Linked DNA regions of Nothobranchius furzeri. The protein of the gene in region 5 purifies or fractionates together with the protein of the main gene of each other region. This does not show direct contact. Links are inferred from orthologs where the notes say so. Each region holds a gene or a part of one and is shown on either strand. Other genes may lie near its edges.

Region 1 (4,415 bases), on a different chromosome or scaffold from region 5:
GTTTATATATTTATTGCAAAATCTAAAAACATCAATGCTTTTCCTGTTTAAAGCAAAAATGAGTACCTTTTGAAAAATAATTACCATGTATGTATGAATCTCTCTCTCTCTCTCTCTCTCTCTCTCTCTCTCTCTCTCTCTCTCTCTCTCTCTCTCTCTCTCTGTTTATTACACGTAGTTGGGTATTTATTGGGCTTTGAACTAATAACTCATAGTTTTATTTCTGACATGTTTTTGATTCAAAACTACAAATTTATGCTGGTAAACATCAGTATCTAAATATATTTATTTTATATTACCTATTAATATTTTAATTGAATTTAATAAGAACAAAACCCCTTTTTAATCAGTTTAAATGACTTTCTCTGACTCGCTGGTAGAAATAAATTTTGCTCATCTGGTAAACAGCGACATGTAGTGTTCAACATTATCTCATGCTTGCGACGCAATTTTTGAGCACTAGCTCCAACCAATCACCAGAGAGAATACTCCTACGTTTGAAATATTGACCAATGAGCGCTTACGTAGTTGCAACAACGATTCCATCGCTTACGTTGTGAGAGTCTGGTTTTCAAACCTACAGCCCTGCATGCTGTGGAAAAGTCAGGTAATTCTTACATTGGGAAAAAATCAGTGCGACTAGAAATGTTCCCATTGACGGTGACATAGGTGTGTTTAATAGCTGTTGAGTTTTTTTGTTTGTTTCAAACAGCTGATGGATCGCGTCGCTATCTAACGGCTAACATGCTAATAAACACGCTTCAGCGACATTGAACGAATGGTTCAAACTATTAGTATTCTATTATTAGTATGGAATATATCAGTGAAATGCGGCGAGACTTCCTCGTTTGCTTTTATTTTGCTTGCAATGAGCCACGTTTCGATGTCGTTTTTTCATACTAGTGGACTTATTCAGGCTTTAGCTTCTCTTTAACCTTACCTGGCTGCTTTATAACTAATAATGTACTATCCGTTTACAGAAAAATGTTCTTTGTTAATAAGATACTTAACAAGATAGATAGATAGATAGATAGATAGATAGATAGATAGATAGATAGAGTAGCAGACAGGGAAGTACAAAAGTATAAGAATAGGCAGAAGTAATATAAACTATTGGTGCTTTACTATACTAGAGTAACATGTTTCATGGTTGTATATTTGTAGTTATAAACAGATATGCGTTTGTGGAAAATTAATCTACAATAAAAACATCTGTTGCACAGCGATGGTATGCATGTTGTCTTGAAGCCATATTTACTATGGCAGAGATGGCCAAATGAGCAGCCGATTAGTCTCTGTAGGGCAGTGGTTTCTAATCCAATAGCAATCACTGCGTGGTTTTAATCAGTGAGGTACTTCTGCAGAGCTTGTTGACATGCTGATCATGTAATTCAAGCTTTGAATTGGAAGTGTTGGAGCAGACAAACAGTGAGGACCGCAGTGAGGCGTCCTGAAGAGAGATGGGTTGTCTGTGGTGGGGAGCAGTTTGTGCAGAGACGACCTGTCTCTCATGCCCTAGGACCAGATTTCCATGGTTTTCCTTAGGTGCTTGAAACGACTTGAATTTTTTTTCCCATAAAATACCTAAAACCTTAGCTGAAATTGGGGATTTGGAGTTTTGTGCATGACAAATGTGTGTGTGTTCACTCTTGCTAGGATGAAGGTGGTGAATTTGAAACAAGCCATTTTGCAGGCGTGGAAGGAACGATGGAGTGATCACCAGTGGGCCATCAACATTAAAAAAAACTTCCCAAAGGGCCAAACATGGGACTACCTTAATTTTGCTGGTTTGTGACGCCTATTTGTTGATAATCTGTTAATTTAATAAACACTTCCTCTATGATTTGAAATGTTTTCTGTGTATTTTAGAGGCACTGATGGAGCAGGCGATGATCGGTCCCTCTCCCAACCCGCTGATTCTGTCTTACCTTAGATATGCTATAAGCTCACAGGTAGAGAGAAGAACCATGGTTATGATCAAACATGCAGCTGAACAGATTATCTAATGGTGCACCTCATTCTCCCTGTCTCAGATGGTGTCCTATTCCAGCGTACTAACAGCCATCAGCAAGGTACTTTTTGGAATATAAACACAATGGTGTAGTAATCACTTGAAGAACTACAACTTTAACATAAATATCTCCATTTAAACAGTTTGATGGCTTTTCTCGGGAGCTGTGTGTCATGTCATTGTTGGAGATAATGGACATGTTCTGCCATCGTCTCAAGTATGTTCAATCTTTTCTAACTCAACAGATTGTGTCAATGGGTCATCATTCTACCACTAAAAAAATGTATAAACTAAAACAATTTCTTGTCTGTGTGTGTCTCAGCTGTCACGGAAAAGCAGAGGACTGCATCGGGCTGTGCCGGGCCCTGCTGGGGGTGCTCGTGTGGCTGCTGCAGGGCTGTGCGTTTTACTGCGAGAAGTTAAGAGAGCTGGGCCCGTCTCCCAGCATCGAGGCCGCTCTCAAAGCCTGCCAGGAGAGGCTCCACCACCTGATGAGCAGCACTAAGATCAGAGCTCTGGTCCACATTGCCCGACTGGAGGACCAAGGTGCCTGAAAATAGCTTTTTCAAACCATTTATTTAAAAATATTGTTTTGAGAAGCTGAAAGGTGTTCCTTGTGGATACAATGGTGTTTAAAATCCTCAAATCTCTCTCGGAACATATTTGTTTTGAAGCAAATGGCAGACCACAGGATGTTGCGCTTACTTCATGCACCTTTAAAGTGTCTGTGTCTATGTCCTCAGGTTCCTGGGGTAACGCTGAACAAGCAGTGCTCAAGGTGTCTGACGGCCTTGTTAACGTGCCAAACCAAACACTCAGAGCTAAACTAGAGGAAAGCTTGTCTCTAGTTAAAAGGTCAGCCTTCCTCTGCCCGACTTAGAAGGGCCATCACAATCCAGCTTGTTTATGCTGCATCTCTGCTCTTCTCCCTCAGCATCCCGCTGATGCTCTCGGTACAAAGTGACCCGCCAGTCCGTGCCTCTTTCCCATCAGTTCATGCTTTCATCATGCTGGAGGGGACCATGAATCTAACGGGGGAGATCCAGCCCATGGTGGAGCAGCTAATGATGATCAAAAGAATGCAGGTAAACATTAAAGTGGGGGGAAACAATCACATTGCACCTTTTTTATTTTTTGTAGAAAGATGAACCTTGTAATGTTTTTAGTTGGAACAATTTTAAGTAAGAATGTGTTTTCATTTCATTTGCATTTAAAGGGATACTATGCAACTTTTTTCATAATTTTAAATCATTTTCTCAAGCTATTATGTGCCAAAATGACCCTTTGCAGGGTTAATGAAAGGCCACCCAGCCCCTCTCACCACCGTGGCCAGAATATTCCACTTGCAACTTCAGACTGGCGGGCCACTCTAAGTTAAGCTGATTTACCTGACGCAGTAGTCTGCTTCTAGCACGTTTCCTTCATGTTTTAGATCACGAACACAGCTAATTTGTTTAATTTAGTGATGAATCACTCCTGTATAAGGAAGGCTGAGGAGACATTTCAGCTGTTAGATTAAGGTGTTAAAACACATGTGTCAGACACAAGGCTGGCCTGCGGAGCATTTCTATGTGGCCCGCGAGATAAATATCAAAAATATATTAAAACTGACCCGCTGGCCGATTTTACTGTAAAGACTACAACTCCCATGATGGTTTGCGGCGTTAGCGCGGAGCCAAAGCGCCCCCTCCTTTGTGTTTTTTCCAGCATCTACTGCCGGTGTCTGCAGCTCCGCTGTCTCGGACAAACTAAACGCTCCTCTCACTCAGCGCCAAGTTCACTCAGCTGTTTTCTGACGTTGAAGCCCAGAAACGGAGATTTTAACCGCTCTGTAATGTGTGAACGACTATAAGAGAAAGATTTCCAACTAACTTTCAGACAGAGCTGATTTTACTCCAGCGAGCAGCGACGAGCTCAAATCAGCATGACTCTGTGGCTGCTGTCGTTTTTATTTTTCCTCCCCAACACACAACGACGTGGTCAAGCTGCTCAGACATGTTCAGCAGCACAAACCTATGTGAGCACCTGTTGTCATATAATGTTGTCATTATTATGATGAAGATGAACAAAACAACAGGAGTCTCCTCCTCAGCTCAGATCAACCCCATGATGCAGGGATCTGGCTGGAACAGGTGAGCATCACAGTAAACCAGTGGAACAAACTGAGCTTTAAATATGTTGGTTTTATGCTCTTTTTCTGCTCCAAAACATGAAAGTTAACAGGTGAGATGTTGCATTTTCATTTAAGATAAAATGATATTTTTATTTTGTTGTCGGCCCGTGAGAAAAGATTTAACCTACAGTAAACAGGAAGTGGAAAGGCTGCAGATAGATGAATAGAATAGAAAATCCCTTTATTGTTCCTGAGTGGGGAAAGCTAGATGTCACAGCAGCGATGACGCGT
Region 2 (4,655 bases), on a different chromosome or scaffold from region 5:
TGGTTGGGCAAACTCCCTCTAAACATCGAAACGTAATACATTTAATCTTTTTTGAGAATTTAATTAATGTAATCATTGAGAAATTAATAAATGAATGAAGTAATTCATTTTTGAGAAATAAATTGTTGGGTAATTTTTATATTACTCCCATATTACCTCAAAGAAAGTCAAAGCACACACAGAGGGATTAGATTAATAATTTGGTAAATTGTAATCCTGCCAACAACAAACAACAACAAATACTTTGCAAAGGCAAGAATGCATTTGCAAAGGGTGAGAGAATCACTACACACCAGACAAAAGGCATTTTGCACTCACAATCAGGCAAAGCCTTAGAGCTTCTTTTATTTAGGAAGGCACACCCAGAAGTTACAGATCAACCCCCACACACAGTTCTTTAGAACCAGCTGACCGGGGTAACCTAATCAACAGATTGTTGGACCTTCATCTTGTCTCAGGAAGTTACAGATAACAGGAGGGTGATCAAAGAGGTCATTCTTCACCACTCTAAAATGTGATCAAATTGATGACCTTCTGTTTAAACAAACACCTACACTGTTACATCAATAACCCTGTGATGTCAAAATCAGTTATATCCATCATGAATGAATACATTCATAAATTAATTAATTAATGATTAATTATTAATTAATTAATATAAATATATATATACTCAAAATAACAATTTGTTCTTGTTAATATTTATAATAACAGAAATACATATATTAGAATATATAATATAAATTAATATATTTATAAATAAATAAATTGACAAATCAATTAATTATTACATTGAATGAATGAATACATCGATAAATTAATTAATTATGGATTAATTATTAATTAATTGCTATAAATAAATATATTCAAAATAATTATTCATTCTTGTTATTATTTCTAAGAACATAAATATATATATTAGAATATATAATATAAATTAATATATTTATAAATAAATAAAATGACAAATCAATTAATTATTACATTGAATGAATGAATGCATAGATAAATTAATTAATTATTGATTAATTATTAATTAATTGCTATAAATAAATATATTCAAAATAATTATTTATTCTTGTTATTATTTATAAGAACATAAATATATATATATATATAAAATATAATATATGATATATATGAATATATTTTTAAACAAATTAATTGATAAATCAATTAATTATTACATTGATAAATGAATGACTGAATGAATGAATACATTGATTAATTAATCACCTCACACCTTGACTACTGTAACTGTCTTATTTGGTGTAAGTCAGAGTACTGTAGCTCGCTTACAGCTTGTTCAAAATGCTGCAGTGAGATTTTTGGAAGGCAAGAGAAAGTATGAACACACGACTCCAATTCTGGCTGCTCTGCACTGCTCCCTGTCAATTTTAGAATTAATTGTTTAATGGGTTGGCCCCTGCCTATTACAGCCACATGTTCCTGGTCTGGCACTCCTTTCTGTGAACCAGTTTCTGCTCTCGGTTTCCAGAGTTCAGCTGAGGACAAGAGGGGATAGGGCGTTCTCGGTAGCGGGCCCGAGACTATGGAATGCCCTTCCCTTAACCACTAGGCTCTCTCTCCCCATGAGTACAGGTTTGTAAAATACTACTTTTATGATCTGGCTTTTAACTCTGTGGGTTAGCTGTTGCTGATATTTTTACATGCTCTTATACTGTTATGTGTATATTGTTTTTTAGTTGTCCCTGCTGGTTTTATCTGTTTTATTTTGATTGTATAGCACTTTGGTGGCATGGTTCAAGCGGAGCTGAGGTGGAACATATTTTGGGGACTCATATTTTTGTAACACCGGAAGTGATAAGAACGGTTCATCAGAGGCATCCGGCTAAGATCAGCAATGCAGGTAATCGTTGATAATAGGAAAATAAAGTAAAACAAATGTAGGCGACATTGTTGTAGTTTATTATGTTCACTGGTATATCAAATATATTTGCTCTTTAAAGATAATTTAACTAGCCTTCATTTGCGAAGCTATGTAGCACGTAGCTTTTCCCTGCTAACATATTTGTTGTCTCGTTTGTTTGTCAGTCATCAAAATGAAATAAAATGATCGTTCTTCACGTGTCTTTCAGCAAAGGGAAGAAAAGCAGTTGGAAGCCTCTGTGGACACGCTGATCTCTCTGGTGGCTCACGTTAAAAACGCTCTGCAGAGTTTTATTGCCAAGTTAGAAAATGAATATGAGCGTTTGACCTGGTAAATTATTATTATTATTAAAATAGAAACGTACTATCTTATCGGTAAAGAAATGCAGCATTAGATGGGTGGCCGGTGATGCCTGTGCTTGGCAGCCTCAGCTCTGTCAGTGTGCCACAGGGCAGCTGTGGCTACATTATAGCTCATCACCACCAGGGTGTGAATGTGTGTGTGAATGGATAAATAATACACTTTGGAATCCCCTGACTCTGAAAGGCGCTATAGTGTGGGTCATTTTCATTTGATATTGCTGTGGTTGGTCTAAATTTCTAGGCTAGTGAAATGGTGCTGCCTGATCACGAAAACAATCATGATTATTTTTGTTCCTGTTGGTCATTTTTTAGTGCTAACTAAGGATGAAATAAAAATTGTAAATTAGGTTAATTGCACAGTCCTTAGTGAAATAACCTTAGTTTAAAATATTTTAGTCCAGATGCGGATCTTTTGATTAAAATTTCCTCTCAGACGCTACTTTGTGTTCTGCTTTGACTCAGGCCATCTGTTTTGGATAACTTTGCACTCCTCTCTGGTCAACTGAATACCATCAACAGACTGCTCAAGAATGAGAAGACGCCATCTTTTCGCAGCCAGGTTATTATTCCGTTGGTCTTATCTCAAGAAAGAGATGATGACTTAGCGGTGAGTAGCAGCATCTCAGTCTCATCTACTTATTTTTGAGTTAAGCTCACTAATAGCTTCTCACTGCCTCTCAGAAACTCACAGAGAAGCGTGTGCCGGTGTTCAGCCATGAGATTGTTCCAGACTACTTGAGGACCAAGCCTGATCCAGAGGTGGAGGAGCAGGAAAAACAGCTGAGTGCAGAGGCAGCACGGATAGGTCCTGATGCAGCACAGGTTGTGTGGAATAATATTTTGTGTCCTGTTAGTTGTCTGATTTGATAGCTTTCATCCGGCTCTGCTTTGTTTACCTTCATTTGTCTGCATGAACAGAAACAGATCCAGACTTTGAATAAGATGTGCTCCAATCTGCTGGAGAAGCTAAACAACCCACGGGAAGACCGAGATGCAGAAAGCGCAGGTGTGTTCAGGTTTTGCTGCACATTTTTTTACCATTAGAAAAAGTTGTTTAAAAGTTAAAGTCCCATTAGTCGTCACACACTAGTGATATTTTTTCTCCGCATTCGACCCATACGCTGGGGAAGCGGTGAGCTGCAGACATGGCCGTGCTCAAGAACCATTTGGTGGTTTAACCTAGGGCTGCTCAATTAATCGAAGTTTAATCCCAATTACGATCTGAGTTTTGAACGATTATTAAAACAAAACAAGCCAATTATTTGCTCCTCCCACTTACGCTGTCCTGAGTTGCAAATGAAGCGCTCCTCCTTGATGCTATTTCTAGCAGCTTCTCAGACCCCCTTCTTGACTTTTTAAATCTTAAAAGTACCTAGCAAACACCTCAGAAACATCTCTGGAAACCCTTAGCTACTTTCTGGATAACTGTCGTGGACATTTCCTGCAGGTTAGCTAAACACTCCGCCTGCGCTCCGGACCGTTCTTCAGGACATTAGGAAAGGGAATGATGTAGTGATGTGTCAGTCGCTAAGGAAACGGCTCACAGAGCCGACTCCCTGTTAGAGTAACCAGAGTGAGTAACACACACACCGCACCTGCGGACTCCTGAGCCTCTAAAAACAGCTAAATGTGCGCGTGCGGCGTGCTAAACACACGTGCAGCTTGCCCCCGATTGCTGTGAGACCGGGTTGGGGGGTGCAGCTTTGGTTGGGACAATTATTACATTAACTGATGGACCTGTAAATAAATAGTTTATAAATAAGGTAGAAATAAGTTCCTCACGCTGATAAATAATAACTAATCTCTCTGAGGACACGGTGCTAGTGCACTCTCCTACAGCACCTTGACACGACTCAATAAATGTTATGCAACATTTTGTGAACATCAATTTATTTGCGTTTATTTGTTATAAATGCCACTGTATAATTCTTGCTGTCAGTATTTGCAAGATATTGGTATTTGGGTCTGTACTGGTTAGACTAACATGAGTTAAACCAAGGTCTATAGCCCTTGGGTCATAGACTATGAGCTATAAGTATATTGGTCTTTTTATACTGGGAATCAGGAGTTATTTTAGTGATCATCTTGTTTCTCATTTATTTTTGTCCTGATTGTGCCCTGAGCAATTTTATGACAGAATAAAATCAACATAAATTGAAAAATCGTCTTAAATAATCGAGATCTCAATTTCAGTCACAATAATCGTGATTATTATTTTTGCCATAATCGAGCAGCCCTAGTTTAACCCCCCTAATCCAACTCCTTAATGCTGAGTGTCAAGTGGGGAGGCATTAGGTCCCATTTTTAAATTCTTTGGTATGACCCGACCGTGGCTCTAAACGCCGATCTCCCAGTCTCAGGACGGACATTCATACCACTAGCCACTGAGCATATTTTGATGG
Region 3 (4,463 bases), on a different chromosome or scaffold from region 5:
GTGATTTGACAAAAGTAAAGGAATGTATTGTACCGAACAGGAAGCAATCACCATGAGTATTAACACTGAAAGACTACCTTTGTTTTCCTGCTGGAGTTCTCTGATCTGACGGTTCTCTTGTTGGATTCCCAGAACCAGACTGGAACGAGGCCGATGTCGCGCAACCTGGTTCAGTGCATCAATCTCTTCCTGGTACTGTCAAATGTGAAAAAATAAATAAATAACGAATCAATAAAAAGCTTCGCCCTCAGTAGTTATGTCCTGTAAACTAAACAGCAGTCAACGCTACGGTTAAAATATTCCATCATTCTTTGGAATGCACTTTACTTTCTTCTTTTGCATTATAGAGTGTTCAGTTATAGAATTAGTAAAATGTGACCCCTGGTGGCACTAAGCTAGTACCCAACAGCACATAAAATAGGAAAAAAAAAAATCACATACCGTTTTTATAGCCTCCACTCTCTTGTTGAGAGATGTTGTCTGTTCAATTAGCATCTCAGCGGCATTGTCGTGGTTACGAAGCCTTTCCACTAATGATTTGGCATCTGCCAAGACCTTCTCTAAACTACAATTCATACCTAAGGAAATACAGAAGCATAAAAACAACTTATTTTTGATTATTCAACAGCTCTGACTTGTTGGTATCAATTTATTGAAAATAAATATAATTAATGCAATACACTACGAATACATGCAAACAAATCAGTCCAGTAAGTACTAATCTTTATTTCTTCAAACTCAGCTCATTCAAAGATCTGTCTACTTCTATATTAGTTGTTCAGAATCTTTTTACAGACAGCCACACGAAAATACATGAACTTTCACTTCACCACACTCTGTAAAATAATAATAATTCACCAGAACGATCGAAATGAGCCATGAATAAACGTTTCTAAAGCTAAAGAACCTAGCTTGAACCTTAAGCCTCCTCGTAGGTGATAGCACGCTAGTTTACAGCCAATAATGCATTGATAGGTCATTTTACTCTAATAAGAGTTTTATTACTTAACATATTTTGCATTTACTGACACAATTTATCACCACAACACTTCATTAATCAAATATAAACTACCGAGGAGTTCATAACACCAACCGGCTGCTATAACTAAACTTGTAAGGTCCACAAAAGGCAGCAAAACTGACAAATGTGTGGTCATACCTGAAGAGTTCAAAGTACAAAACCACTTGGGTTGAGTTAGCTTCTTTACTTCCTGTTGTTGTTTGGTGGCTAACACTGGCTAAAAGCTGACGTTTACTCCGGATTAGATGCTTTGGCGCGTTCCCATTTCCTTAAAGCACGAGAGTAAATATCGCTAGTCATGAAAAAGTCGATTTAAAACCTATCCACATTACAAAAAACCAGCCGTGGGACGGTCACAGCCATCGCTTCAGCTAACTCGAAGCCTCTTGTTTATTTCCGCGAGACGTTAAACTCTCGCGAGGGTCACGTTGGGGAGTTTTTTATTTTATTTACGGCAACATGGCGGATAGGCTAACGCAACTTCAAGACGCTGTCAATTCTGTAAGCAAAACTATTGAAATATCCCGAAATATAATTATTTTCTACGTCAATAGTTATTTTTTTATCTTACACAATTACAACAAATGGATTTAGATAAGAAATATTTGCAGAATTATCGTTTCAGTCTTTTAAATGTAGCTAATCGCTAACTTGCGAGTCTAAGGTTTAGTTAATTTACACAATTTATCACAGCTTTTATGTTTTAACCAATGAACATGGCTTGGTTTAACTGGTAATGCAACTATCAGACTATACTGGCTGTTTATCTATTCTATATTCTTTTAAACAAATGTCCGGAGTTTTAAAACCCGTGTTTGTTTTGTTGCGTGTGAACAGCTGGCTGATCAGTTCTGTGATGCCATCGGTGTTCTGCAACAATGTGCTCCACCTGCTTCCTTCAGTAATATTCAGACAGCAATCAACAAGGATCAGCCAGGAAATTCAGCCGAAGGTTTGTAACTTCAAAGCAAAATCTTTATTTAAATCTCTTTTCTCCCACATTCAGCTAGCCTGACCAGTCATGCATCCTTATGGGAAGCATTAGTTCTCTGTGTAGAATTAAACAGAGGACGAGTCTGGCAGGCCAAACATGCTCACATGCCTGGTGGAAAAATCACTACCAAACTCTCATGGGTTATTTATTTTCCTATTCGAAGAAGCCACAATTTAATAAATTGTTTCAAAAAGGGGTTTCGGGGTTTAATTGTATAAAAGTAAAAATGCTAGTCAACAAGTGAAATACTATTTCCAGGATAAAGTTAAAACGTCAAGAAAAATGTTGAAATTTTAAAGAAAATTGTCAAAACGTCTAGGAAAAAAAGTGTTACCATTTCCAAAATAGCCTGAAGAACTGAATCTCAACTGTACCCTGCCCATCCCCAAAAGTGTCACTTTGTAATATTTAGTTGGACTGCCCTTCACTTTGATTGCTTCTGCAATGTCAAAAGAATTATTCCCATCCTGAGTTGCATTCATTTTTTAATGAGGATCCTGTAGAGATGTTGAACAATCAAACAGTTTTAACAATTGTCATCGCAAAGATTGTCATTGGTGCTCATTGGGTCTGCATCGATATGCCCTGATCTCTTTCATGGTTTGATCCTGATGAATTGTGGAATTGCCATCTTGAGGTTATACAACCTATTTGCCTTGTTAAATCCAGAAGGGATTTATTTTGTTACAGGAAGTGTTGTTCCCTTTTAACTAAAGGGACGTGTTTGCTGAAGACCCTTATTGTGAAAGACTGAAGATCTCCGAGTTCTGCTTTAACAAAAGGAGTTAAAACCTGATATTTAAAGGGACTTTACGGAGTTTTGAATTTTTATGCTAGCGATTGCCCCCTCAGGCCAAAAGTGTAATGGCAGCTTCAATAGTAGGCTCGTGCACGAGGCGCGCATGCTGTACGTGCACACTCCTTTACGAAAATAACAGCTGAGACAGTCCCTTGTGTGTGTGGCCCGGAGGACAGAGGACAGGAGAAGGTGCAGCTAATTAAATAATTTGGTTCTGTACCTTTCTCTTCAGCACAGCCGACAAAGGTTTAAGATGGGTCAGTCCTCCTGCATGCTCAGATCATTCCCTTCCCTTGCTTGAAAAATTGTTCCAAAATGAAAGTTGAACCCACATCTTTTTTATCTGTGAATTCAATGCCGTTCGGCAAGTGTCAAATAAAAATTTGGGCATCTTACTGCAAAAAAATATACCATTAATGTAATGTACATCCAGATTCGAACTCGAGTCTTCTGCACGAAAGTCCGTCGTCTTACAAGGCGAGCTAAAGCGCCAGTGACGTTCCTTGTGTCTGTAACATTTATATCCTTGATGACAGCTGAAACAACGTTCAAAGAACAGTTTGGAGGGCTATGCCTGAGCGTGAACACGGATGAAGCAGCCTGCTCGACCCGAGCAGCTCTCTTTTTCTGTGATTTTACAGAAAAACAGGCAATCACAGTAAAAATGCCAGGGCTCATTCTACAGGACCAGGGCATTGCAGGAGAATGTATGAAGAAGAAATTTATTATTTCTATACATGTTTTGGCTGTCAAACTTCCATAACGTCCCTTTAACCAAATAGTTATTTTATTGAATAGTTTACTGGGTAAAACATTCCTGTAACCGTCGGTTACAATGATGATAAAACTGGAACAAATGCAGTCTGATTCAGGGGCACAACAGGGTTTGTTTTCTTTTTTGGAAGTTATATTTTGATATTTTTCAAATTAAATTGTAATATTTTTCCTCAGTATTTAGACGTAATTATAGATGTTTAGAATTTGTTCCCCACTATTTAAAGATGGTTTCTACTTTTGTCTCTTGTCTTTTCTCAATGTTCTAGAAATAGTTAAGTGTTGATTCTTAACCTTTAAACTTTTTTTTCTTCATCCTGGAAGAAACAAGCTGACTTTGTCATCGACATTATGACTGTAATCTTGAATTTTTAAAATACTGTTGACGTTTGTCTCGACATATTGACTCATTCTTGGGATGTAGCCTTTATTCTGGGGGGAATATTTAGACTTTTCTTGTCATTTGGAACTATTATGTCGACTGTACCTACTTGTTTAGTTGCAGCAATGGCACTAACGCTCATTGCATTCCCTCATGTGTGTTTTCCCTCTCCTCTAGAATATGCACGGCTATTTGCCGCTCTTATTGCCAGAACAGCCAAAGATGTAGATGTACTGATCGACTCTCTGCCCAGTGAAGAGTCCACAGCAGCCCTGCAGGTCGGCACGCTCGCACTCACTTCACTCTTGCTTCCAGTAGGAGCTTCAGATCTGCCTGCATTTATGCTGAAGGAAATCATTCAGACTTCTACTAAAATCACAAGGATTGGTCTCTAAGAGATACCGACTCTTTGAGTTTAAGAAGTTTTACTGAAATAATGGCTTCACTTTGATCTATTTTAAAAAGAAGAGACCCAGTATTATTGTTCATGTTC
Region 4 (4,618 bases), on a different chromosome or scaffold from region 5:
AATCTCCACACACCTAATCCTGGACAGTTGAATGCAACCTTTCAACATGGGCTTTTTCTGCACACATTAACACGCTCTGTGTCACATAGATTCAACGCCATAGAAAATGTGACTTTAAGAAAACCACATTTCAATACAAAATCGTGTGGACTTACCCCCGGACGGCACTCCGAATACTTCAGATCCTGAGTGTCCAACACAAAAAACCTCTCTTTGTAGTTATTTGGTGATGTTCTTTTCTTTTGCTGGGATTTTTTGATCATGGTTCCCCTCAAAATCACCCTGGGGAACATTGTCAAGAAGAACGCAGCGAGCGTCTGCGAATGGTTTTGTCACAAGCAGAGCCTCGCAGAGTCAGAAGAAGAAAAGGCAAAGTTGTGGATGATAAACTTCGTAGATGCTGTGGAGCTTCCGGCGTGAAGCTGCGGCAGGCAGTAAACCACATCCTTGTGGCAACAAATGATTTGCGCAAGCAGAAATACACACTGTTTGATGCACAAACACTGTAGATGTCTACCCTGCACATGTACTTTCACTAATGTTATAGAGAATTAACAAGTTAAGCCCAAAGCAGGACTGTGAATGCAGAAATCCAGGTTTTGGTAGTACTTTTTTAAACAATTGGGAAGATAAAATGAGTAACAAAACACAAAACATCACTGAAAAAAGTTAAGATAAAGAAATATCTCTCTTTCTCTAAATGTGTCTTTGCATTTAGGGGTTACACGTCAAAATATTGTTATTTTTCAGAGAAGTTTAGACTGTTTACAGTGAATGCAGTCCATTAAATTCTTGATTAAAGTAAAGAGTAAAAACTACTTAAGCCACATAAAAATTTACAAAACTCATCTAGGTGACAAGGAGTAAATAAATAAACGTGAGCAAACCGGTTCGGAACATTAGGAATTAAAATGCTGCTCACTATCTTTTCACAAGAGAATAATAGAATTCAGTTTGTCATTATCAACCCAATTTCTTTTTAATATCGATATCAACCCTTTTACACCGTTCTGTTTGTGGCAGGTGTTTCACATACATAAGAAATCACAATCATCTTTTTTTATTATTATTATTTTAGGATAAAATTCATAGATTTCTGCAGATTCTGAAAGAGGACAAACAGATCACAACATGCCCTATAGGTCATAAATTGTAAGTCGCTTTGGATAAAAGCGTCTGCTAAATAAACATAAAGAACAAACAATAACTGACATAGTTTGTAAAATGAGAACCCGAAGGAATTAATATACAGGTTATTGTTTTTATGTCTTTAAAATTAGTATTTTCATTCAAAAATATTCAACAGTTATCTGAATATTTTAGTAACTTTTCTTTTTCATGTATAAAATCAGTTCAGTTTGGGCATCAAACGGTACTTTTTCCATCGATCCTCTGAAGAACAAAGTAAAAGAAAAACAAATTTTTCCGTGCTTCCGGATATTTCTACCAATCAGCGTTGAGCTCTTTCTGTGACCGCACCCCAATCAGCGTTAGGAAAACAATCACGAGGACAGTTCAGCCAATAGAAATCAAACAGAAACGACTGGTCTTTTCTGCATTTATCGAAGAAGCTATGTTAGCCCTGATCTAATTTTCCAACGATATTTGATTAACGTTATTATTAGAAGTATATGTTGTGTTTCTAAAGGATTGTTCTTAAGGTGGGTATGAATACATTTACTCCCTTCTCATTTACCTTTTATGTAGTTCGCTTCATTTTTGACGTGCCCAATTAACTACCGGGATTAGCGGTGGCTATAGTTAGCTAGGTTTCTGTACAAAATGCAGCGGTGACGCTAACGTAGTTCTGCTTGTAGTGTTTGTCAATAACACATTGAGTCCGTAACAAAATAAAGGTAACACAGAAGACAAAGGTTCAATGGTTAGGTGCGTGCTAGGAGTTGAATTTGACTACTTAAATACCTAAGAACAACGTTTCAGCCAGATATTAAACCTATAATTATTAACTATGGCTAATAAAGCCTAATTTTACTTCAAACTAGATTGCAAATGTTTTACGCCAAAATGAGCAGTAGTGTGTATACTATAATTTACGTGTCATTTTAAGTTCATATCTACTTTTCCTACCAACAACAGCAGTAGGTGCAACTTAAAAACCCATCAGAATCTAGTTTTGCTTTGAATGTTTTGTGCTGGACTGGTGCTGCAACACATTAGTTTAGATTTTAGACTAACACTTTACTGGAAGTGTATGCTGATTATTGAATTTGCCCCTCCAGCCTAATGATAGAATCCTGCAGTTATTGGGAGAATGACGTTTGTCGAATTTTTAAATATATTTTATGTACAAGGATTTTGAGAATCTTTTATCGAAACTCTCAAAAAGTAAATCAAACAATAATAAATTCTTAATAAAAACATTTTATTTGTTACTGCAGTTTACATTTAACAGTATTTATTTGTACAAATGAGGGGCATTCAGGCTTTTACTACAATCTGTTATGTGTAATAGTGTATATCTTTTGATGCAGAGCTCTACACGATATGCTGTTACCTAATAAGTTATTGTGCTCATTAGGTAGCTGTAATGTATTGTGTAGTAGTAGTAATCAGCTGATAATGTCATGTTTTTCAGCTTAGCCATCAGCCACAGCTGGTTCTACATGAATGTGGAGCCGAGTTTTAATCTGAAGATGGAGATATAACTATGGTTTTGGGCTGAAATATTAAATTTAGAATAAGTTGCACTAAACTGCCACACTGATAATTGCACATGTCTACAGCACTATTAGACACTCATCTGTACAGGTTATCAGCTAAAAAAAAGTTCATTTAGGCATTTCTTGATCTTTAATAGTGCCTGGAATTCCTAATAAATGTTTTTTCTTTTTCTATACTTTCAGGTCTGCATCATGGGTGAACCACAGCAGGTCAGCGCCCTGCCTCCACCACCTATGCAGTACATTAAAGAGTACACAGATGAAAATATCCGCAAGGGTCTGGTCCCAAAGCCGCCTCCACCCATTAGAGACAGCTACATGATGTTTGGCAACCAGTTCCAGTGTGATGACCTTATCATTCGACCTCTGGAGAGCCAAGGCATCGAGAGGCTCCATCCAATGCAGTTTGACCACAAGCGGCAGCTCAAAAAACTAAACATGTCAATTCTTGTGAACTTTCTGGACTTGTTGGACATTCTCATCAAGAGTCCTGGCAGCATAAAGCGTGAAGAGAAACTGGAGGACATGAAGCTTTTGTTTGTTCACATGCATCATCTTATAAACGAGTACAGGCCACACCAAGCCAGAGAAACACTGAGAGTCATGATGGAGGTCCAGAAGAGGCAGAGACTGGAGACGGCAGAGAGGTTCCAGAAGCATCTGGACAGGGTGGTGGAGATGATCCAGGGGTGCCTTGCATCTCTACCTGATGACTTACCCCAGTCGGATGTAACAGACGGTGTGTGTGTTGGGACCAAGAGTGTGTCTGCTGGATCTAGTTTTGGTTGTTCTTCTGGACAGGCCCCCATTCTGAAAACCGAACCAATGGATGTAGAGGACACGGGCGCCAGCTGCATGGCTGCAGGTGATCAGGACAAGAATGTCCCAAGTTCAAAAACAGACAAAACATGGGACAAGGATGCTGCCATGTGTAGTATAATAGATGAGATAGCATGAAGATTTACAGCACATGCATGTTTTTACTTTTCACTCAGCATGAAATACTTTGTGTGGGATAAAAATACTATTATTTGTACATGTTCTTTTCAAATTCAACTAAATGTACTTGTAAATATTTCCTTAGCGTTTAAATCTTATACAGATCTTTGTGTTCACTGGGCTCAATAAATCTATTTGAAACCGCAGCAGGAGTTTAGTGCCGTCACAAAAACGATGATCTAATATGGTTCCACATAAACACAAAGTGCTTTTGTTAAGAATTTGTTGCTAATTCTGACGCTGTGGTTTGCTGATTATGCATTAGCGGTAGATGCGTAGATCCTTTAGCTAGTCGGCATATCAAAGAGCTTGATTCATCAGAGACCTGAGTAAAATTTAATTAAGTCATTCTGCCTTCTTTTAAAATGTAATGCAATGTAGACAAGTTTAGGGTTGGGGTGTGCTGAATTGAAAGGTGACATTTGATAGGTTTACGTCTGTCAGTCGTCTGTACATGTGATACTTTATACATACACTATTTTTCCAATAAAAATTCAAATAAAACCTATTTAATAGTGATGTGTCGGTCGCGAACGAACTGGTTCTAAGAGCCGGCTCTTTGAAGTGAACGACAGGAGCCGTCTCGTCATTGGGAGCCCTCCCCTCCCCCCTCCCCTTTTGCTTTGGTGAAAGCTGCAGGCGATTAGTCAACATGTGTAACTACGTGTCCAGACTGTCCACACACAGAGCAGTAGGGGTGGGGAAGAGGGAGGATCAGACTCAGACACACAGCAGAGCACATGCGGGCGGAGGGAGACGAGAGGGAATGAGGAGGAGGAAAAGGGCGAGAGAGAGGAGAGTGTGATGAAGACAGAGAAAATGAGCGCCAGCAGTCGGATAGTGGAGATTTCTGAAAGTGTTCAGTTATTAAATCCATAGAAATGGTAAATATTTGATATATAGCATTTTTTTACATTAGTAAATCATTTTACACATAG
Region 5 (3,661 bases):
GGTGTGTATCGTGTTCATTTCTTAAGTAAAGTTTTACTTTATAAACTAACACACGTTGTTGTTTTGTAGCGGATATGGGGTTTGCTCGTCTCTTCAATTCACCACTGAAGCCTTTAGCTGATCTCGACCCCGTCGTGGTCACGTTCTGGTACAGAGCACCTGAGCTGCTGCTGGGGGCTCGGCACTACACCAAAGCCATCGGTGAAACCCTTTTCCACTTCTGCTCTGCACGTGTTTTTTATTGGTGTGGCTTTGACTTATGTCAGCACGTGCTGTGCGTTTCTCCCAGACATCTGGGCGATTGGCTGTATTTTTGCAGAGCTGCTAACGTCTGAGCCCATATTCCATTGTCGTCAGGAGGACATCAAGACCAGCAACCCATACCACCACGACCAGCTGGACCGAATCTTTAATGTTATGGGCTTCCCTGCTGGTGAGACTGTTAATGTGTTGGTGTTACACAAGATTTTTCCAGCTACGATGTTCTGGAAGGAAATGTGATGAAACGCATTATTTTCTCGGTCTTTACTTGCTCTGTTTTTGAATGTATTAATGTGGTCTGTAGACGCCGGACATCAAACCACAGACTTTATACAAGTCACAAACCTAGAGATGGTTGCTTGCAGGCCTACATTTGGACCGATACTTTCCAGTTCACAAAATCTGCTTCACTTTTCCTTTTTTCTTTTCTCGTCTCTGCCGCTCTATTTATTTAATTCACCAGTCAGTTAGAAGGATCACTTTGGTTTCTGCAGAAATTTTGGGCAAATTTGCAGAGTTTAAGTACAAAACCAAAGCTAATTGGTGTAAAAATGAAAGAAATGTTGTTTAATTGTAAGTTGCTGTGGAAAAATAATTTTTTAATTTCTTTAAAGATAAATGATCCTTCGTCCTAACCCTTTGTTGCCTTGGTCTAACAGATAAAGACTGGGAAGACATCAAAAAGATGCCAGAGCACTCCACACTGATGAAAGATTTCAGAAGGAACACGTGAGTCTGCAGACCACTTGTGTCCTGTTTTTTATTTGTTTTAAGATCAAAACAAAGCAAAGTATATCTTAATACACAAAAATTACACACACTTCATAGTTTGCTCCTGTTTTTATACAGATACACAAACTGCAGCCTTATAAAGTACATGGAAAAACATAAAGTTAAACCAGACAGTAAAGCATTCCACTTGGTGAGTTGAAGCGCTTTTGATTTAGTCTTTCTCTGCCTGATATATCTGGTACGGCTTTTTGTTTGACATTAAAATCACGTTATTGATTGCAGCTGCAAAAACTATTGACCATGGACCCCATCCGTAGAATCACATCGGAGCAGGCAATGCAGGACCCGTACTTTTTAGAAGAGCCTCTTCCCACGTCTGAGTGAGCTGCAGCAGATTTAGTTCTGGCTTTTAGCGCGGCTAACGTGCCGGAGGAGACTCCTGAACAGGTTGATGAGGTGTTTTTGCATTCTTCTAGTGTGTTTGCAGGTTGTCAGATTCCCTACCCCAAGAGAGAGTTCTTGACAGAGGAGGAGCCAGAGGACAAAGGAGACAAAGTAAAATTTACTTTACAAACTTATTTTATGAATGCATTTGAATCAAAAAGCAGTGGTGTACGTAGATAATCCTCATGGGCGGGCAGTATAAATTTGGGGTGGCACCAAATTGGTCCCTGTGGCTGTCGATTGCTTCTTTGTTATCTTTCATTTAGAACTAAAGGCCTATGCGTCCGTCATATTTACCTCAGAGTTGAGGAACACAAACATTTAAGAGGTTCATAGTTTTTTTCCGCTTTTGTTTTAAATTTTGCTGTTTTATAATTTTAAGTTTAAAATTTGCCTGTTGTCGTTTGAACAAAACCTTTTTGAACATATTTTTGAAAAAATATAGTGAGCCTCAATGGGATACGTAGTATATAAGCTGTGATAATTTTTTTTTAGTAGAATACATTTATTTGTTAGTGTAAAAATGTATGTCCTAATTAAAAAAAGATGAATGTACAATTTGTGTGAACATGATTGTGATTTATTAGGGAAGGTGGGGGGGTGGTCTTCCCTGGTGGGGGGCAGTGGGGTGGCCACCAATTTACCAGGGTGTGGCCATGGCCCCCCATCCCTGGCCACCCCTTGGAGCACCCCTGTCAAAGCAAAAATGAGAAACTAAAATGTTGTAGTACATGTACAGTATTGTTTAGATTGTTTTGTTGTTGGGTGTTTTAGAAGAACCAGCAGCAGCAACAGGGAAACAACCACACAAACGGGGCGGGGCACACTGGCAACCCAGAAAATAGCCACACCCAGGGCCCACCTGCAAAGAAGGTGCGGGTTGTCCCTCCCACCACTACCTCAGGTGGCCTCATTATGACCTCAGACTACCAGGTGAGCTTTTCTGCTGCTCATCTGGACACACAAACAGAACAGCTTGTGTCCTAAATGCTAAATAAAGAAACTAATTGCTGATGAAAACAGAAGAAATTTGAAGTTTTTACTGACAAAGCTTTTTTTGTTGTTGTTGTTGTTCATGCAGCGCTCTAATCCACATGCTGCCTACCAGAATCCTGGACCAAGCACATCACTGCCCCAAAGCAGCATGGGATACTCCTCTACCTCCCAACAACCACCCCAGTACTCCCACCAGTCCCACCGCTACTGAAACACCCCTCCCACAAATAAACACACACATTTCTAATCTGAACACACACTCACACAGCCATTTCTGTGACCGCCTGAACGAATGTACTGAAGGATGTGGGGATGGTGCAACACCCCACACCCTACCTTCTGAAGGCACTCTGCTGTGATCTGGTAGTTCAGAGAGACAAAACAACTCCACCAGTGTCAGACAACACAATCCCAGTACAGCGTAAAGCAAATCCTCATGGGTGAAAGGCAGATCAAGAGGATAAAAATAAAATATTCCATTAATCAGGCAAAATACAGACGAGCCATCTCCTTTCCTCTGCTTCAGTTCCCCTCGTCCCGTCAAAACTTGGATGAGACGAAAGCTGCTACGTGACTGCCCACGTTAACAGATTCTCAGTCCTCCTATTTGTTTTGTTTTTTTGTGTGTAAGGGGCCTCCGCTGAGGACTGAACTGCGGCAAAGCAGGCTGGGAGATTTTTGATCTCACAGCTGTGGGATGGAGGCTTTTTTTGTTCAGAAAGGACAGAGTAAGGATTTTAGTAGTTTCTAATTTAATCTATTGTCATGATTTTGTTTTCATGACAAGCGTAACACAGCAGAGTGTGTGAGTTGCTGTGTACTGTGAGTAAGCCTTACAACATGACGACAAAACCAACTAATCGTATGGAGGATGGCAGATGGAACATGCATTGTACTGTATTGCATTTAAATATTTTACATGAAACAAGTATCCTGACAATAAAAGTGGAAACATCAATTTTGGACCAATTTCAGTGCATTTTGTCATTCATCATTTCTTTTACTCTGTTATTGTTTTACAATAAGACATATTTTACAGTATAATACACATTTTTATATAAAACGTGTCAATAAGTACATGTATTGAAAAAATAATGCTTATAGAAATTATGTTGCATAATTTAGCACACATAGTTTTGTGCTGTAATGTCCATTTAAAACATATTTACTGTAATCAAATCAGCAACTTGAAAATGGGATAAAATGCTATACTAAATTCCTTTTGAGG
Region 6 (4,225 bases), on a different chromosome or scaffold from region 5:
CCAGCACTTACACATCAGCATCAGCAGTTTTAAACACATCAGCAGGCGAGTGAATGCCGCGACCCTCTTTTTTAAATTCTAAATTAAAATTAAACAATTAAAATAAACATATTGTTGACTCTACAGGTGAATCTGAGGAGACTGAAAACACGTTTCCAGCCATTTATGGAGTATCAATCACTGCGGCATGTCTAGCTGTAACAGCACTCGTGATTTTTTGCTTCAAATCAAGACTGCAAGCAGGTAGGATTTGCAGCTGTAGGTTTTCGTTGAGACTTCCTGTTTTTTGTAATTTACATATAGATTTTAATCATGCACAGTGGTTTGCCCTTCAACCTGATTCTCTTTCTGTCTCTCCTCAGCATTTCCGTTTCACAGCTCTTGTTGCGGATTTGGCAGCAAGGTATGATGAGTATTATAAAGTGTATGTATGAAATACCACATGTGATGTTTTGCTAAGGTAATTAATGTCTTGTTTTATGCTGCAGGAAGAAGAAGAAAACCCGACTGTTATTTATTCTTCTCTTGTCATCAAGGCACCTCCCGCAAGAAGACATAGATATGCATGTGAAACTGACTGCATTTATGGTGAAATAAAAGTGTAGTAGAAACACACCTGGCAGAGATGAAAGCTAAACTGAAGAGTTAGTGATTGTAGTTTCCACACTGTCCTCTGATTTAGTGATCAATTTGTCAACAACTTCTAATATGATTGTATGTATAATTATTACTCCCACAGGGTTGTGGAGGTAAAATCTAAAATTTCTCAATTTTTGCCCAAAATAAATAAATAAATAAATAAATAAATAAATAAATAAATTTCTACATTTAAAATATATTTTATTTTATACATACTCTTCCATAATATGTTACGATATATTGCTGAAATGTGGATACATTTCTCATTTTGCAGATTTTGAATTTATGAATAAAATAATACAATTTAAATTTTAAATGTTTAAAAATTTCCAAAGACAATGAAGTGAATTTATTTTTAAGAAACTGTTCCGATATTTTAAAATGACGTTCTGAGAAAGAGTTATAAGCGATTAAAATATGATCTGATGAAGACAACTGAATAAAATCATAATAGAGAAACAGATTAGTTGTGACTGGACTGATTATTTTTTCATGATTATTTATAAACTGTTGGATCATTAATTTACTTTCTGCAGTTGCAGAATGAACTTCATTTCTATTTTTATTTCAGGAAATGTGGAATATTAATGCGAAGATCCTGTCATTTCGTTTGTGCACCGTAGTTTTTAGACATAGATGTTGTAAAACCGTCATTCTCCAGTAGGTGGCAGCAGAGTGTTATCATAGCGGTTGTAACGCGCTTCAAAAACAAGCCAAAGAAAGATGCTCTCGTATTTTTGATGCATATTGAATGTTTTGTCTAATCTCCACATGCGTGGGTGGTTTTATTTTGACTACGTTTCCTCCATTTTTTACTTGAACAGCTGGAGTGACTCATTTGTATGTTGCTGACGTAAAAACTTGGCGAACTAGCGGTTAGCTAACGCTACATGCTAACCGGAAGAGGCTTACCGGGTCTTTAACAAACCATTACGCCAACATTTATTCTGGTTTACCTTAACAGGTACGGAGTAGCATTCTGCTTTATGGCTATTTTTCATGTAAAAGTAGACTTTTTGGGGGAGTCGCAAACTGTATGAATGATTTAGCTTAGCAACATAATTTAGCCTTTTAACTATTAGCTAGCATAACGAACAAGTTAACATCATAAGTAGCTATTTACATTAAGCTCTGCATATTATCAAGTAACAGTGAGCCAGCATGCAAAGTGTTGATTAAAATAAGTTTAGAACCACCTCGACCTTTTTCTTAAAGTGAAATATTTAGCTATTTATTAGCATGTTGAGCTAAGCTTACTGACTGCTTTTCTTTTTAAATTGGGACAAAAGCAGATACCTGAGAAAAGATGGAGGCCCCTCCTGTTACCGTGATGCCTGTGACCGGTGGGACGATTAATATGATGGAATATTTGTTACAAGGTGAGTTAGTGAGATACAAAATAAAAATAGTCTCCCTGAGTGCTTTTTAAGTACACAAGAAAAATTACTTTTCAGACATTTCAACGTTTTATACAATTGTCAGTTTTGCATTAGTGGCCATATGTAGTATTTTATATCAGCTATTATGTCAACAATGAAAGATGGATGACTGTTAATGGGGAAAAATCTAAATTGAATTGAATAGGCTATTAATCCCAGGGGGGACATTCACTCTAGAGCAGAACATACGCTTAGAGAAAAGGAAGAAGAAAAAAATAAAAACAAAAGTGCAGGTACATACACAACGGCAGTAAGCTATTATTGTAACCTTCAAACCACTAAGAGCAACAAAATAAAAATACTAAATTGGGTTTCCAAAGATGTACAGCATAAGGAACACATATTTGTAGGTGATAACTAAGATTTAAAAGATCTTCTACCATAAACTGAAACTATCAGTTATTAGTCATTTTATTTTTACTAATTTGTAAAATCTCAGAATCTTGTTTCTGCTTCCATGAAAGCATAACTGTGGAAAAAGTCCTCAAAAGCTGGATTAACCTCTAATCTGACAGTTTAAGGAAACGTGTTACATGAAAAACATATTCTGATGAAGACTGATTATAGAATACATGTTTTATACCTTTACTGTTTCAGATAAAGTTTGAGTGACATAAGATGTTTGTTTTATTTTTGAATTATTCATGTTAGAAAATGATTGCTGTTATTTTTCCTTCAATGAAGCATTATTTTCTTTGTTTTTGTTGAATCCAGGCAGCGTGTTAGATCTGGCTCTGGAAAGCCTGCTGCATCGCCTCCGTGGTCTGTGTGACAACATGGAACCCGAGACTTTCACAGACCATGAGCTGGTGTACCTTCTGAAAGGCCAGCAGGGAAATCCTTTTATCCTGCGTGCCCGGCGCGCCCTCTCCCACCCAAATGCTCCATGGCATCTGCGTTATCTCGGCCAACCTGAAGTGGGAGACAAAAACCGCTACGCCTTGGTACGCAACTGCGTTGACGTGGCTGCCTCTCACAGCCTTCCAGAGTTCCTGAACGAGATGGGCTTCCGCATGGACCACGAATTTGTCACCAGCGGCCACATATTTCGCAAAGGAGCTATGAAAGTGGTGGTTTGCAACGTTTCTCGGGTCCAGCTACCAGGAAACACGGAAAACACAGAGCGAATGTCAAATTCGCACCTAGTTGAACTGAGCGTGTTGGCCCCTGCTGGCCAGGACACGGTTTCAGAGGACATGCGCAGCTTTGCAGAGCAACTGAAACCTCTGATTCACCTGGAGAAGATTGACCCAAGCAAGCAGAGACATTAGAAGTAGAATTCAGACTAACATGGACTCATTTAATGTAGCTACTTTTGTTTAATTGTTTGTTTTTTATCTTAATAGAAAATAAAATACTGCTCAACTTTTATTCGAGAGTTTTATTTGTTTTTGAATTTGTTTCACTATCTAAAAAATGCTTCATTTATTCCTCATGTTGATGAAAATTATAGTGTATTAACAGCTAAAGCTATTTATTCAAAGAACCTTTTAATGCTTTACTGAATAAGAGGTGGTTTTTGCTGTGGACGTTTTTCTTTCCGTCCACTAGGGGTCTCTCTTTCTCTTGTCTTTGCCTTGATTGGAACAAATTGAATGCTACCTCTCATCATCTACTGGAGCTGTGGTTGCCATGGAAATAATTAGCTGCGAGATCTGCACATCTTTTACCTCATTCTAATTAGCTTTCTCAATTGCTTAATGATACATAGACCTGTGAAAGCCTTCCTTTCTTTCCCTCAACAAAAGCATTGATTTTCGCTCCCTGCCCCTCTCGTTTCCACTGTTAACCCATTAGTGCCCCTTTTTCATGGGAAATTGAACTGGAACCATTACACATGAAAGCTCCACAGCTGCCTTGGGTCCTTAACTGTTCACGATGAAATTGGAAGAAGAAAAAAAAGAGGGCTGTATACTAGTGTGTCAACATTATGGCCAATTGCCTGCAGAGATGGAAGTAACTAATGCACATCCTGTCAGTTATGATAATAATGTTGGCAAAAAAGACATGAGTGCTTCTAATAATACCCTTGCAGGAAGATGCATTTGCTGGAGTTGAAATCTAAAGTGACCATGTGCATGTCTGAGAGGAGAGCTCCAGGGCCGATGGCTGTCTCTGCATGTTGACCTACCTGCATATCAAGGCTG
Region 7 (3,314 bases), on a different chromosome or scaffold from region 5:
CTTCCTGTTGTGTGTACACTCAAGTAACAGCCCAAACTGATGTGTGTCATGCACGCTTTTCTGTGAGGTTCAGCAAAGTTCATGAGCATTTGGCTCCTATTGTTCCGCAGCTTCAGCATCCCTCTGAGTCAGGATCACGTTTAAGTCTGATCAAGCGCACCAGGATGCGTAAAGCAGACTGCATGCACATATATGAAGTGTGTAGCACGTGCACATGCAGCCACCCTTATCGTACATTATGCCAATGGAAACGCAGCCAACTGATGCCATCTGGTAGAACTACTTGGCACAGCACGGCCCTCTATGGTTCCTCGACATATTGGGAGTAGTTAAAATTAACACTGTTTGGCAGAAACAGACACTGAACTCTTTGTTACTGTGCCTATTTCAGTATCCATCCTTACCTTTAGAGCACAAGCAGCAGGAGCGTGGAGGCTTAGCGTGAAGACCGGCACGGCGCTGCAGAGAGCAGACCGAGTCTCTGCTCCGTTATCCAGATTCATTCAATCATTTGATTCTCAAACTAATTTGATGAATAATTAAACAAAGAAATTACAGAAATTTTTATTTCACCTTGATCAAAAGGACAAAAACAAACATTTTAAATAAAAGAGAACTAAACAGCAGTTTTCACTTTAATGTTGGGATGTAAAACTTGTAGATGAGTTGAGTTTATAGAGACTTAATGGACCGTTCTCCATGGTCCGGTCCAGCTGGTAGAACAAAGGATCCGCGGCCCACTTTTAGACCACTTACATGAAAGAAAAATAACACACACACACACACACTCACGCACGCACGCACGCACGCACACACACACACACTTTCAAGTTCCTAGTTAACTCAAGCTGAGAGCTGATGTTCAAAAGCCTGAAAATACATGATTTATTTCTTACTTATATCAAATATTTGTAGCAAAAACAAAAATAAAAGAAATAACAGATCTATGAGCCCAGAACTGCTGCTCGGAACTGACGAGAAATTATATTACAGAGTCCACCACGCTTGGTCAGAGCAGGTCCATGAGCATTTCCTCCTCTATCACACTGGAGACTTGGGACATCCCGGGCTGGGGCACGGGTCCCCTCTGACCTCCGGACATCAGCATCTGACCTGCACAGAAAAACACAAACAATTCTTTCAAAAGCCCCGCTTGTATCGCGTAACACCCAGAGTTTTACTCATGACATGGTGCGTTAAATATGTTCAAGGATTTTTAAACCAGCTTTTGACCTGCGAGGATTTCCTCTGCTGCCTGAACGTCCATCCCTAACAAACACAAGAATTTATTAAAGGCTTCTTTTATTGAAGATGCGTCTACTGCCCCATTTACAAAAGATGCTAAAATAATAAATAATTAAATGATAATTTTAACAGAATATAACCGAACTGTAGCAGAAAAGATCTTTCATAGTGTTTTGATTTTCTTTGTTCTAACAATTTTTATTAATAAAACTATGTAGCTAATCATCAGCCAAACCACATTATAGGGATGGGCAGTAAATGGAAAATGTATCATTATCAAAATTCTTCCCATGTCAATACATTTGATAATAAAAAATGAAAAGATGTGTGTGGGTTGGCAACGTTCAGGTCCCTTTAAGAAGCTGTATCACCTTAAAAATGTGACTCAACGTAACACACGTGACAGTCCCATCTAGTGGACTACTTAAGTTTCTGTGCATACCTGTAGTTATCGTCCATTTATCGTTATCGAGGTGAAATGCTCAATATGTCGTGATATTGATTTCAGGCCGTATCGCCCAACCCTACGTGACATAAACCAACCTGGCAGCTAGATTGGCTGCTTTGATGTTTAAATCTGTATATAAACAAACCAGTACTAATACAGCTTTTACAGTTCATGAGTATATTAGGATTATGCGACCAGTAAAGTATATGTGGAGCAAACGGAGCGATAAAAATAACCAAAGATTATAAAAAAGAAGAAGAAATCTTTCTGCAACTGAAGCAGAAAAATCTTAATTGAACTGCTGACCTGTCATCGGCTGCCTCCACTGGCCTTGCATTTGAGCCCCCCCTCCTGGTGCCGAGTGGACCAGCTGCTGTCCTAAGCCTTGATGGGACATCATGTTTGGCATGTGAGACACCGCATTCTGCTGCAAGGACACAGAGACATAAGCGGAGCGTTAACTTCGCCCGTAGAAGCGCAGAGTAAAAAAATCATGACTCAAAACAAAGAAGTAAACTCCAGCAGCTGTTCTTACTGGCTGCTGTTGACTCAGGAGGAGGCTGCGAAGCTGTGGATTGGCTCCGGGGTTCGGAAGTCGAAGTATGGAACCCGGAGGCTGTCCGCTCTGAGTGACCTGATTGGGCGGAGCTCCGCTAACCGCTGGCTGCTGATTGGCTGGTCCGGCTGCTCTCATCGTCATCTAAAAACATTTCAATCAGTTCATCAGATCTTGCAGCTCGTTAGCATCCCATACCGACACGAATCACACAACTACCAAGGAGCAACGCTGCAATAAAGTCTTTATAGCAGACCACCATCTAAACCGTTAAAAACATTAACTTTAACTCGCAAATATTATGAAACAAAGATTTTTGTTAATTTTATGTGTATTCGACTTCATTTTCCAACACTTTCTTCTTTCACTGTTTGCTTTACCTGTGTTTACCTAACAGCCTTGATCCAAACTTAGCAGAGGAAACACAAGCTGCTTCAGTAGGAGGAGCTTGTTTCTAATCAGCTGAATGGAAACGTCTCCTGAAGACCTACTGCAGCGCCACGAGCAACGTACTGCGTGTATGAGAAGCTGTTAAATGTCATATAACTGGATCCAAAAATGTTTAATAAGCTTTTATATATATGTATATATATATATATATATATATATATATATATATATATATATATATATACATATATATATATACATATATATATATATATATATATATATATATATATATATATATATATATACATATATATATATATATATATATATATATATATATATATATATACATATATATATATATATATATATGTATATATATATATATATATATATACATATATATATATATATATATATATATATATATATATATGTATATATATAAGTAAAACTAAAAAAATAAAATAAGGTGACAAAGTTGATTCATTTTAGGAACTCAACCTAAAAGCTGGAACTAATATACGAGGCAGACTCGTTCCATCCAAAGCCAGATATTTCACGTCTTTATGCTATAATTGTGATGATTATGGTTTACAGCTTATGAAACCCCCACATTCAGAATCTCAGATAATTAGAATATTGTGAACAGGTTCAATGCTGTGGGTTCAA

The links.
Region 1: the proteins of cdk8 (region 5) and med24 purify together in Homo sapiens (affinity purification with mass spectrometry; 13 studies listed by BioGRID and IntAct, counting the BioPlex papers as one, with this or other methods). This does not show direct contact. The link is inferred for Nothobranchius furzeri from reciprocal best matches to the Homo sapiens genes CDK8 and MED24.
Region 2: the proteins of cdk8 (region 5) and med8 purify together in Homo sapiens (affinity purification with mass spectrometry; 7 studies listed by BioGRID and IntAct, counting the BioPlex papers as one, with this or other methods). This does not show direct contact. The link is inferred for Nothobranchius furzeri from reciprocal best matches to the Homo sapiens genes CDK8 and MED8.
Region 3: the proteins of cdk8 (region 5) and med21 purify together in Homo sapiens (affinity purification with mass spectrometry; 14 studies listed by BioGRID and IntAct, counting the BioPlex papers as one, with this or other methods). This does not show direct contact. The link is inferred for Nothobranchius furzeri from reciprocal best matches to the Homo sapiens genes CDK8 and MED21.
Region 4: the proteins of cdk8 (region 5) and med7 purify together in Homo sapiens (affinity purification with mass spectrometry; 7 studies listed by BioGRID and IntAct, counting the BioPlex papers as one, with this or other methods). This does not show direct contact. The link is inferred for Nothobranchius furzeri from reciprocal best matches to the Homo sapiens genes CDK8 and MED7.
Region 6: the proteins of cdk8 (region 5) and med18 purify together in Homo sapiens (affinity purification with mass spectrometry; 5 studies listed by BioGRID and IntAct, counting the BioPlex papers as one, with this or other methods). This does not show direct contact. The link is inferred for Nothobranchius furzeri from reciprocal best matches to the Homo sapiens genes CDK8 and MED18.
Region 7: the proteins of cdk8 (region 5) and med25 purify together in Homo sapiens (affinity purification with mass spectrometry; 8 studies listed by BioGRID and IntAct, counting the BioPlex papers as one, with this or other methods). This does not show direct contact. The link is inferred for Nothobranchius furzeri from reciprocal best matches to the Homo sapiens genes CDK8 and MED25.

The regions. Positions count from the first base shown.
Region 1 is NC_091756.1:31,526,234-31,530,648, reverse strand, and holds the start of med24 (mediator of RNA polymerase II transcription subunit 24), read left to right. Parts: upstream 1-1,524; 5' UTR 1,525-1,531; coding exon 1,532-1,545; intron 1,546-1,656; coding exon 1,657-1,787; intron 1,788-1,869; coding exon 1,870-1,952; intron 1,953-2,033; coding exon 2,034-2,072; intron 2,073-2,154; coding exon 2,155-2,228; intron 2,229-2,333; coding exon 2,334-2,557; intron 2,558-2,754; coding exon 2,755-2,866; intron 2,867-2,945; coding exon 2,946-3,096; intron 3,097-4,415. UniProt on the Homo sapiens protein: Component of the Mediator complex, a coactivator involved in the regulated transcription of nearly all RNA polymerase II-dependent genes.
Region 2 is NC_091756.1:57,827,585-57,832,239, forward strand, and holds the start of med8 (mediator of RNA polymerase II transcription subunit 8), read left to right. Parts: upstream 1-1,547; 5' UTR 1,548-1,602; intron 1,603-1,747; 5' UTR 1,748-1,864; coding exon 1,865-1,870; intron 1,871-2,099; coding exon 2,100-2,221; intron 2,222-2,715; coding exon 2,716-2,860; intron 2,861-2,934; coding exon 2,935-3,075; intron 3,076-3,171; coding exon 3,172-3,259; intron 3,260-4,655. UniProt on the Homo sapiens protein: Component of the Mediator complex, a coactivator involved in the regulated transcription of nearly all RNA polymerase II-dependent genes.
Region 3 is NC_091741.1:59,846,804-59,851,266, forward strand, and holds the start of med21 (mediator of RNA polymerase II transcription subunit 21), read left to right. Parts: upstream 1-1,430; 5' UTR 1,431-1,480; coding exon 1,481-1,522; intron 1,523-1,858; coding exon 1,859-1,973; intron 1,974-4,147; coding exon 4,148-4,248; intron 4,249-4,463. Other genes in the region: fgfr1op2 (FGFR1 oncogene partner 2 homolog), read right to left, coding at 78-195, 442-576. UniProt on the Homo sapiens protein: Component of the Mediator complex, a coactivator involved in the regulated transcription of nearly all RNA polymerase II-dependent genes.
Region 4 is NC_091742.1:50,786,198-50,790,815, forward strand, and holds med7 (mediator of RNA polymerase II transcription subunit 7), read left to right. Parts: upstream 1-1,519; 5' UTR 1,520-1,661; intron 1,662-2,864; 5' UTR 2,865-2,873; coding exon 2,874-3,638; 3' UTR 3,639-4,188; downstream 4,189-4,618. Other genes in the region: itk (tyrosine-protein kinase ITK/TSK), read right to left, coding at 1-57, 156-293. UniProt on the Homo sapiens protein: Component of the Mediator complex, a coactivator involved in the regulated transcription of nearly all RNA polymerase II-dependent genes.
Region 5 is NC_091747.1:51,014,418-51,018,078, forward strand, and holds the end of cdk8 (cyclin-dependent kinase 8), read left to right. Parts: coding exon 1-1; intron 2-69; coding exon 70-201; intron 202-289; coding exon 290-433; intron 434-920; coding exon 921-990; intron 991-1,110; coding exon 1,111-1,183; intron 1,184-1,275; coding exon 1,276-1,373; intron 1,374-1,469; coding exon 1,470-1,548; intron 1,549-2,211; coding exon 2,212-2,370; intron 2,371-2,518; coding exon 2,519-2,644; 3' UTR 2,645-2,863; downstream 2,864-3,661.
Region 6 is NC_091745.1:72,040,962-72,045,186, forward strand, and holds med18 (mediator of RNA polymerase II transcription subunit 18), read left to right. Parts: upstream 1-1,318; 5' UTR 1,319-1,603; intron 1,604-1,928; 5' UTR 1,929-1,945; coding exon 1,946-2,018; intron 2,019-2,792; coding exon 2,793-3,349; 3' UTR 3,350-3,449; downstream 3,450-4,225. UniProt on the Homo sapiens protein: Component of the Mediator complex, a coactivator involved in the regulated transcription of nearly all RNA polymerase II-dependent genes.
Region 7 is NC_091745.1:8,252,764-8,256,077, forward strand, and holds the end of med25 (mediator of RNA polymerase II transcription subunit 25), read right to left. Parts: intron 2,394-3,314; coding exon 2,229-2,393; intron 2,121-2,228; coding exon 2,000-2,120; intron 1,270-1,999; coding exon 1,234-1,269; intron 1,114-1,233; coding exon 1,010-1,113; 3' UTR 827-1,009; downstream 1-826. UniProt on the Homo sapiens protein: Component of the Mediator complex, a coactivator involved in the regulated transcription of nearly all RNA polymerase II-dependent genes.